Linked DNA regions of Drosophila melanogaster. The protein of the gene in region 2 binds, or shares a complex with, the protein of the main gene of each other region. Each region holds a gene or a part of one and is shown on either strand. Other genes may lie near its edges.

Region 1 (5,244 bases), on a different chromosome or scaffold from region 2:
CAATCAGCTTGTTTTTTCTTATTCGACAGTTCCACTTGGTGCAAAAGGAGGATGCTGGCACCCAGATGATCCTGGCCTCGGCCACCATGCCCACGAACACCAGAGAGATCCTTCACAAAGTCATAGACGTGGACACCATCCGTGAGGTCGTCAGTCCGCACCTGCACCGACTGATGTCTCATGTGACGCAGAAGTTCCTGCGGCTGTCGAAGGCCGATCGGCCCGCCACACTTCTGTCACTCGTGAAGCATGATCTTGCCAAACGTCGCCCTCTTATCGTGTTCAGCAACAAGTCCACCACCAGTGACTTCGTTTCCATCTTCCTGAACAACAGCGGAGTGAACTGCTTAAATCTGAATGGGGATATGCTGATGAAGATCCGTCTTGGCCGCTTCGAGCAGTTCCAAAACGGTCACTGCGACGTCCTTTCCACCACCGATGTGGGAAGTCGTGGCCTGGATACCACACGAGCTCGACATGTGGTCAACTTTGACTTTCCGCTCCACGTCTCCGATTATATCCATCGTTGTGGCAGGATCGGTCGGGTGGGCAACATGGACAAGGCGCTAGTCACGAACCTGATATCATCGCGCCGCGAAATCGACGTCGTCCAGCGAATTGAGCACGCAGCTCGAACAGGTGGACTTCTGCCGGATGTGAATGCCAACATCCGAAACATTATCAACAAGCGGATTGTGGCGGAGATGAAAGCTGCAGGAATGCCCGTGCCCGCTTTGGGCTCACTAAATGGACATACGCCTCAGGAAGAAGCCTTTTAGTTCTGTGTTTTTATGTATTACGAGTAAAGTTGTATCACCTTTCGGAAGACCGAAGAGGAAGTCTAAAGTAAACGAAGAGTTTTATTGAGATCCCCAGGTCCTCCTGGACCTCCAGAAGGTCTTATAATACTTTCCCAAGTCCCTTTCAGATCCTTAGGTAGTGATAGCCACTGATGGGCGACCACTTTCTCACGTTGGTCAGGGGCTTAAAGAGTTTTCGTTTGGCGATCAGGATGTCGGAGCTGGCACCGCCACCCCCACCACCGTTCGCTGCCGACGAAGGCGAGTCTTCGGAGTGGGGAACAGTCGCAACCTTCGGCTTCAGCAGCACCGGGCGGCATCCTGCAAACTTAAAGCGGATGTTGCCCGCGCAGTTGAGCTGAAGATTTGGTGACTGAAGGTCGGGGAAAGCCTCGCAGAGCGTAGGCTTCGGTTTGAGTGCCTTGCTAGGATCGTCTCCGTGGCACATGGCTGCCGCAAGAGTACTCCATTCCAACCGACGCACTCCCGGCACTGATTCTATTCTGTAAGCGGGTTGTTTGGCCTTCACATACCGTCTGGTTACCATCTTTTCGTAGGCTCCTGCAATGATTTTTAGTTACTTAACCGCTTTTCATGGAACACATGGGTGTTTCTTACGCGCATAGTGGACCAAGAAGGGCTGCAGAGCAGCACCGCATCCGTACTCCAGCCATTCATACAGGTATACGTCATCATGACCGCCAAGGAAGATGGCAGCCGGAGCCAGATCCGGCCACAGGCTATCCGGGATTTCCTCGACGCGCAGTTTGTAGATGTAGGGAATAAACTCACGAAAGGCATATTCTCCCAGGGCAATGAGACCGCGCACTGCTCTACTGATATACCTAAAGTCTTAATTAAGAAATCCAAAGATAAGGATCCAGGCTAACAAATTGTAAGGATGATTTACCTCTCTCACTGCTGACGTGGCGACCTTCGAAGAATCTCGCTAGGCGTCTCTTGATCAAAAACAGGCACTCTGCATGTAGGTAACCACTTTGAGATGCCAGCTGTCCTATAGTTTCACACAGCTCGTCCACCAGGCCATTGCCGACTGGACAGGCAAAGTAGCTGGATAGGTGTTCCGCCTCCGGCTGAGGATTCAATTCCTCCTCCTCCGATTGCAGCTTGTAGATTGTGTGTTCCATGGTGCTCTCACCCGGAAACATCTGGGGTTCTTGCTCCTGTTTCTCTACTCCCATGACCTCCGGATTTTCCTGGGTTTCCGGATTATGGCACTGGTCTGGCTCAACCTTTAGTTCTTCTTCAAACTCCATTTTGATGGAGGTGGTTTGTCCCGGATCTGGGTCGACGTGTGGAGCTTTGATAGTTTCGTAAGGTGCCATTAGCTGGCTGACCAGTACCTCGGCCAGGTTGAAGTACTCCGGCCGGCAGGCATTGTGATTAGCAGTGGCGTTGTAGTTGCATGCTCGGAGCAGTCGCCAGCATCGCTGGCTCAAATGGTCCTGCTGCTTAAAGGCTAGCAACTGGACCATCTTACTCACAATCACTCGGTAGATAGATCCCATCAGGGGTGTCTGAAAAGCATGGCAGACGGCGGCCGTCTGGGATTTGCTGTCCGCAAAAAGGGCTGCCGTCACAAGACTCTGGACACACTGTCTTAGTTGGTCCATGTGCTTATCCTCCACTGGGCAGATGCTCTGAAAGTCTGCATCATCAGGTGTGCACAGATTGACTTCCTTCTGAAACTCCGCGCTCAGCTCGAAGATCTTATCCGAGTGAAAGTAAAAACTGCCGTCATAGTCGATCCGGTCCCAGTCGCTGTCCATCGCACCCAGCATAGGCGGCACATCGGCATCTTTTAGCACTTCGTTCACCAGGTCGTATGTCACCACTCCGCCCGAGTGGCGCGAGTATATTTTGACATTCTGAGAGATCAAGAGGTTAGAGGGATTAAAGAGGTGTATTACGGTCGACTTACATTGATCAGCTCCCAGACTTTGTAGGAGGCATCTTCCGCCAAACGGGCGCACACATCCTGGGAGAGTTCCACATCGGTCTGGTCGTGCTGCTCCCAAAAGATCTTGATGCTGCGCGGATCGAAACCAGCATAGCTCTTCTGATGACCCTACAGTAAAGAGAGCTTGTACCATAAGAGGGCCCTGAGATTGGCATCCTTACCATTCGACTGGAGTTGCCAGAGGCTTCTGCGCCCGCGATGCCGCCTGCAAGTCCGTGCCCACCACTTCCTGCTACCGCAAATGAGGCGTCAAACAGATTGTAGTTACCCAGACTAGATGTTGGCGTGGTGGGCGTTGTCACCATGTTTAGGTGAGTGGGCGTGGCCGGCAGGCTGCCCACTGCAACGCCCCCGCTCACTGCGGATGCGATGGAGGATGATGCGGATGCCGACAGGGAATTCTTTCCAGTCAACTCCAATTTCGCCGACTTAGATCGCGACTTAGTGGACTTTTTGCTGACTTTGCTGTGCGATGACTTGTTCAGCTCGTCAGTATTGCTGGCGCCAGAGGTTTTCATCTTCTTGGTTTTGTATAATTCATAAATGTATATATTTTCAACAGTTGGTAAATAAACAACGAAGCTGCACCACAAAATAAACAAATCTTGCCAGATTATTAACCCAACTATCGATGGTGCCAACGACTTATCGATATATTGATGAGCACTCGACTGTTTTCAAGCCAAGCCCGATAACACCAGTACTGATAAGAATAACAACATAATTGGTATTCGAATTTAATTCCATTTATTTAAATGCTATAAACACAATGGCAGAAGCGGCAAATGTGCGCCAGAACCTTCAAAATGTGCCGTCGATCTTCGAAATTTCAGCGTCAGAGACGCTGGACAACCTGATTTACCCGGCACTGAGCAAGATATTCGACTACTTTGGACTACGCCTGGACTTTAAACTATGGGGGAGTTTGAGGATTCAGGAGGAGCTGTCGCCATTGCTGACTTGGCTGCTGCAGTACCTGTATCTGCGCAAGAGGGCCTCCTCTTTCGGTGAGAGCTTTTACGGATTGCAAAGGACGGTCACAACCACTGGGGATCTGCTGAACCGCAGGCAGCAGTTCGCCTCTGCCACACTGCTAACCTTCATGCCTTACGTGGAGCGGAAGCTAAGGACCAGGATCACCAGGCACGAGGACACCAGTCCCTGGGAGCAACGCCTTCTAAGCGCATTCCATGCTTTCCATGCCGCCAAGGCGGCGCACACATTCTTTTACCTCGTAAAGTACGCCTCAAACCACTCGCCCATCTTCAGATTGTTGGGGCTGACCCTTCGCTATCCCAGCGAACCTCCCAAAGAGGATCAGTGGACCTACGTGGTCCTAAAGATGCTGGAGGTCTTGGCCTTCTTCCTGCAGTTCGTCCAGTGGTGGTACTCCAACGACCAGCGGCGGAAAGTGGGTGGAACTCTGATAAATCCCGAAGCGATGCCGAGAAAGCAGCTGCCCAAGGAAGTGCAGCAGAGCCTTCCCCAGCGGGGAGAGTGCCCAGTCTGCCTGCTGTCCATCCAGACGCCCACTGCCTGCTCCGTTTCCGGCTACGTCTTTTGCTGGAAGTGCATCGTTAGCCACATGAAGGAGCACGGCACCTGCCCGGTCACCCACTATCCCATCAGTCTGGACGACCTGGTGCGCATCTACGAGACGTAACGTTAAGCATTCCTTTTATGTTTTTTGCTTGTTTTTGTTTAATACATTTTATAAGGAATTGGGAACTGTTTACATCTCGCTGAGGAAGAAACCCAAACGTTGGTCGTAACATATGTAGACGTGGTAGAAGTCAAAGTAGACCGTGCATAGATAGATAAAGAAGCACTCACAGGAGATGAACTCGCCCATACCGAATACGGAGTAGGCTGCAGAGGATCCGGGGATTAGAATTGTAGACATCCTTCCATTCGGTTAGGTTCTACTCACCCAAGGGAAAGCAAAACTTCTGGTGTATAAAGTAAAAAATCCACATGACCACCACCCAGACGTAGTAGGTGAGCACCAGACCGCTCTTCAACCGCAAGGAGAATTCCTCATGCAGCTGCCCAATCCTATCGCTCATATAGTACTTGGCGCACACAAAGGAACCTGCCATGTAAATGGCACACGATACGAATAGCGACAAGGCGATGGTTATGTGCAGCAATGAGTCGCCATCCTCTTGGGGGAAGGTGCCCCATAGCAGTACGCTGGAACTACTGACAGCCATAATGATGGCCATCAGGCAGCCGAAACCTCGGACCGGCCTGCGCAGATTCCTCCGATAGAATCGGAACTGCAGCCATGCACTGGCAATGAGAAATGGGAACTCCAGGTAGCAAGCCAGAGCCCACACTTTGTGCTGAGACTTGGCAGCCGCCGATGTGGAGGGAAAGATGTTGAAGGCATTACAGGTGGTATACGTGGTGGACTGGAAGTCCGTGGTGATGGCCATCACCAGGTTGTACACCATGCAGACG
Region 2 (4,088 bases):
AATAACTACTTAAATACTAATCAGTATTGTGAGCCCGGATCGGATCCTATGCCAATCTATTGCCAAACGCCCGCATAGTTGCCCACCAAAGTCGCCGGCAGTGGTCCTCCTGCAGCGAAGAGGCGCATCCTAGTGCTGTCATAGCAGTGGGTGTAGATGGCGGGCACATACTTCACCTGCTGGAAGCCATCCATCTCATCCTCCGGATACTGAAATGTACAAAACAGTTAGGTGAATTGGTGTATTTTGTGGAACTGTAACCTCTTCACTTACCACAATTCCTTTGCTGCACTTGAGTGCGACTGTGCGCGAGGCATTCACACTGCTCTCCAAATACTTTCCGGCTCGAATGTCGTAGAATAGGAGCATGCCCAGACCCGTGCCAACGGTGAGCAGGTTACCTTCGAACGAAGTCGCCCGTATACCGCAGCCACTGTATCGAGATGTGATCTTCTTAATGGTTTGAAGGGTTCGGGCGTCCAAAAGGATGGTATAGGAACGGCATCCAACGGCATAAAGGCCGTCGCTGTGGTAGGCGATGCTCACGTTGTCCTGGCAGTTTGGCAGCTTTCGTGAGAGTGTCTGCTTGAAGGTCTCCGCATTGAAGATGTGAATGTATCCGTTCAGCGAGAGGGCGGCGATCTCCTTAAACTCCTTGTTGAAGCAAAGAGATCGAATCTGTAAAAGATCTTATTGATAAAATGGTTCTTTGATTTGATTTGCATTCATAAGCTCACCCTCTGGGCAGTGCGAACTTCCTTGACACTAAGGGGGTGGATGGTTGCGAATGTGGGACACGCTTCCTCGCCGCCATCTGGAAACTCCATGTGATCCTCGTTGATGCGCCACAGAGCCATGCGCGAGTCCTTCGATCCGGACACAAGAAACTGGTCATCCAGCCAGCACATGCCCATTATAAGGTCGCGGTGCCCACCCTCGCCCACACAGACGGGATCCAGCGTAGGCAGTCGGTAAACAGCAATATCGGAGGAGTTGCGCGCACCGGTGGCTAGGAAGGATCGGCTGGGCGACAGCTCGATGGCATGCAGGCCACCCTGGACCTCAGGATGGTTTGCCCGGCTATTTGAGAGCGTTGGGATGGCGTCCACCCGGCGCATGTTCACATCGTAGACGAGCAGTTTATTGCACTTGGTCCCGAAAACCACTTGTCGACTGCTCAGCCACTTGGAGCAGAAGACCTTGTTGATGTAGCCCAGACTAATCTGCGTCTCGCGCAGCATGTCGTGGGTTAGCACATAGCGGCTGGTGTACTCCACATTGACACTGCGACGCTGCAGAGGATGGTGGGACAAAGTTCACGTTAGCAATGCAAGTGGTGCGACTTCACAACATATACCCACATCTCGGAGTCCACTCTCCCGGCTGCGCAGGTAGTCGCACAGGTTGTAGGATGTGTTCAGGACCTCCTCCTGCTGTTGGGGCGTCTCCTCGTCGCTGCCGGAATCCTCGTAAGTAACAAAGTCGTCTGGTTTGTCCGGTTTTCGTCTACGCTCCTGTCGCATCGCCCGCTGCTTGGCCCTGCGCTCCTCCAGCCGCGAGGATACGTGGCAGGACGGATAGGTGCCCACGACGCTGTCGCGGATGGTTCTCACCATCCCGTTGAACATCTTAAGGTAATTGTTTAATCCGATTTGTTGTCTTTTGCTTTACGGGTTATCATCCGCAAACAAAAATGGTGGTGCGTAGACTACAGTGGAACTACTGGTTCGGAACTGAAGTTTGCTGAACCGATTGTTTTGCATTTAATGCAGAGATACAAATTAAGGGAAATAAAAATACAAGTGTTGACATTTTTCTATTTGGCACAATACTCGGCCGCTCTGGTTACCTGAATATATATATATATATAATAATATATATATAATATACAGTATTTATATAAAGTCGGATGTCGCACAAATGCGTTACACTATCGTTCATCCCTAACGATAGGCCATCGCTTTCACAAAGGGTTTTATCTATTCTCACGAAATCAGCTGTTGCGATTGAAGTGGTGACTTTGTTTGTAAATAAAATGAACTACAACGCCAAGCGAGTAATGCGACAGAACTCGGTTTGCGTGGGTTCCAACGACATGGCAGCGTCGCCGATAATGATTGGACCTGCCCCGCCCTCGGCGCCCAGCACGCCGCAACTGCAGACCACCGAGGACATCAAGCCACTGCTTGTGCAGCGCCAAGTGATTCTGCTGCAAAGTGGAAGCATACCGACGAATCCCTCGCCACAGCAGATCAACCTAGCTGGACATAATGTAGCCGGTGGTGCCAGCGGGAGCAACGTTGCCAACGTTCTCATTCCGGATGATGCACCTGTCTCACTGCTCACAGAGATTGCGGATATCATGCGAAGCTTCGGCGACAGCGATCAGCCCAGGACGGGAAGTGTCAAGCTGGTGGAGCAGATCCTGCAGCAGCAGCTGCGCGGCATCTTCAATGAGGCTTCGCTGGTGGCCATGCGGCGGAAACAGAATCCCTGCCCGTCGCAGGCGGACTTTGAGTTCCTGATGCGCAACCATCCGGTGAAGATAGCTCGGATGCGAAAGCACCTCAAGGATATGCGCATACTCAAAAGGTTCCTTAGTATCCGCACGGGAAGGCCGCAGGACTTCATGGACGACTTGGAGCAGCAGGAGGAGGACGAGGAGCTGGCCATCGATGTGTACGAGCTACACGACGAGGACCGAATGCGAAGATTATTCCGCGCAGATCGGATATCGCAGATCCTTACGGGCCAGCAATACCTGGAGTTCAATGAGGCGCGCAAGACGTCATTCTACTGCCGCCATGGGGAGAAGATCAAGAACAAGTTCCGCCGCTTTCTGGACCTGCCCGCGGACCTTCGCATCCCAACGCCGACAATGAACATTTTGGCCTATCTGGCGCATGAGACCATTGCCGCCATTGTCGACTATTCGATCCTGACGCGCCTGAACTCGGACAACCGTGCGACCGAGCCCTACAGCCGAGTGACCTCCGCCGGAGGCAGTCCGGCTATGATGCACGTCTGTCCGGAGGTCACACAGGGTCGCGGCATGGAGGTGGTCAAGCCAATCAGTGTACCGGAGATCCACGAGGCCATGCGCCGTTTCCGGCAAATGAGCAGCCGTAAGATTGGGCGGTATCGCAACTCTTGCGACATCGATTTCCGGCGCAGTTTTCTAGCCATTTAAGTTTTAATGATCTTAATATCCTCGCCTATTTTTATTTGCGTCAATTATTGATTTTATTCACAAAAAATAGACTGTACAATTAATTCATTTAAAGTAATTCAATCCCCAACAATTAACGCGCTCTACATTTTAATTATACAAATTATAAAATAAAGCAATTTTGGCTCGTTAAAAAAGTTTTTTCCTGAGAGGTCAAGAACAACTAGGCATATTCATTAATTCAATTTGCCTGTGGCACATATCCTGGCCTTTGAGGCTGCGACTAAAAGACAGAAAAACGCACTCCAATTACGGACGGGTGAATCTGCCTCGCATGGAGCCGATAAATTGAAGCGGTAAACGAAGTTGAAACTGGCACCGACAGATAAATAAAAGCGCAATAAAGAAATTTGCCGACAGGCGCACTCGCACGTGTGCCACACAGACGGAGCGAAGGAGAAGGACCAGCAAGGATGCCGCAGGATTGCAGGAGAGACTGCAGCATAAGGCATTAAGAGAAGCAACTCGCGAACGCACTTAATAATCAACTTCCTGTTGTGCATATAAATGTGTGTGACACGCATAGCAACGAAGGGTAAAGGGGTTAAAATTCATTCCGCAGTTATGGGTGGCGGGTTTCATTCTGTCTTTTGCCGTGAATTGAAAAGGATTAAGAATTATTGCTCAATGTCACTTGAACTTTTAATATATGTACATATGTGCAATTGTGGTCATGATTGTATAGCAAAGGCAAAATCCAAATCTTTTCCAAAAACCTTTTTAAAATAACTTTTAAAAACCATTTATTTGAAATTTTTCTTATTCCTATCACCCGCTTGTTTATCTGATAACATGCGGTCCGAAATTTGACTTAAAATCGATGCACCTTTAAAGGTATCCTCTTGTTATTTTCTTCGGT

What was found.
Region 1: Spt3 (region 2) and Saf6 share a complex: the UniProt entries of both Drosophila melanogaster proteins name them as parts of the spt-Ada-Gcn5 acetyltransferase (SAGA) complex.

What each region holds. Positions count from the first base shown.
Region 1 is NT_033779.5:812,533-817,776, forward strand, and holds Saf6 (SAGA factor-like TAF6), read right to left. Parts: upstream 3,419-5,244; 5' UTR 3,300-3,418; coding exon 2,943-3,299; intron 2,890-2,942; coding exon 2,743-2,889; intron 2,690-2,742; coding exon 1,711-2,689; intron 1,653-1,710; coding exon 1,419-1,652; intron 1,362-1,418; coding exon 925-1,361; 3' UTR 782-924; downstream 1-781. Other genes in the region: Dbp21E2 (DEAD box protein 21E2), read left to right, coding at 30-779; Pex12 (peroxin 12), read left to right, coding at 3,551-4,444; CG15880 (uncharacterized protein), read right to left, coding at 4,514-4,650, 4,712-5,244. UniProt on the Drosophila melanogaster protein: Component of the transcription regulatory complex SAGA, a multiprotein complex that activates transcription by remodeling chromatin and mediating histone acetylation and deubiquitination. The SAGA complex predominantly acetylates histone H3.
Region 2 is NT_033777.3:12,015,191-12,019,278, forward strand, and holds Spt3 (Spt3), read left to right. Parts: upstream 1-1,965; 5' UTR 1,966-2,035; coding exon 2,036-3,190; 3' UTR 3,191-3,360; downstream 3,361-4,088. Other genes in the region: DCAF12 (DDB1 and CUL4 associated factor 12), read right to left, coding at 57-209, 274-678, 738-1,292, 1,362-1,628. UniProt on the Drosophila melanogaster protein: Component of the transcription regulatory complex SAGA, a multiprotein complex that activates transcription by remodeling chromatin and mediating histone acetylation and deubiquitination. The SAGA complex predominantly acetylates histone H3.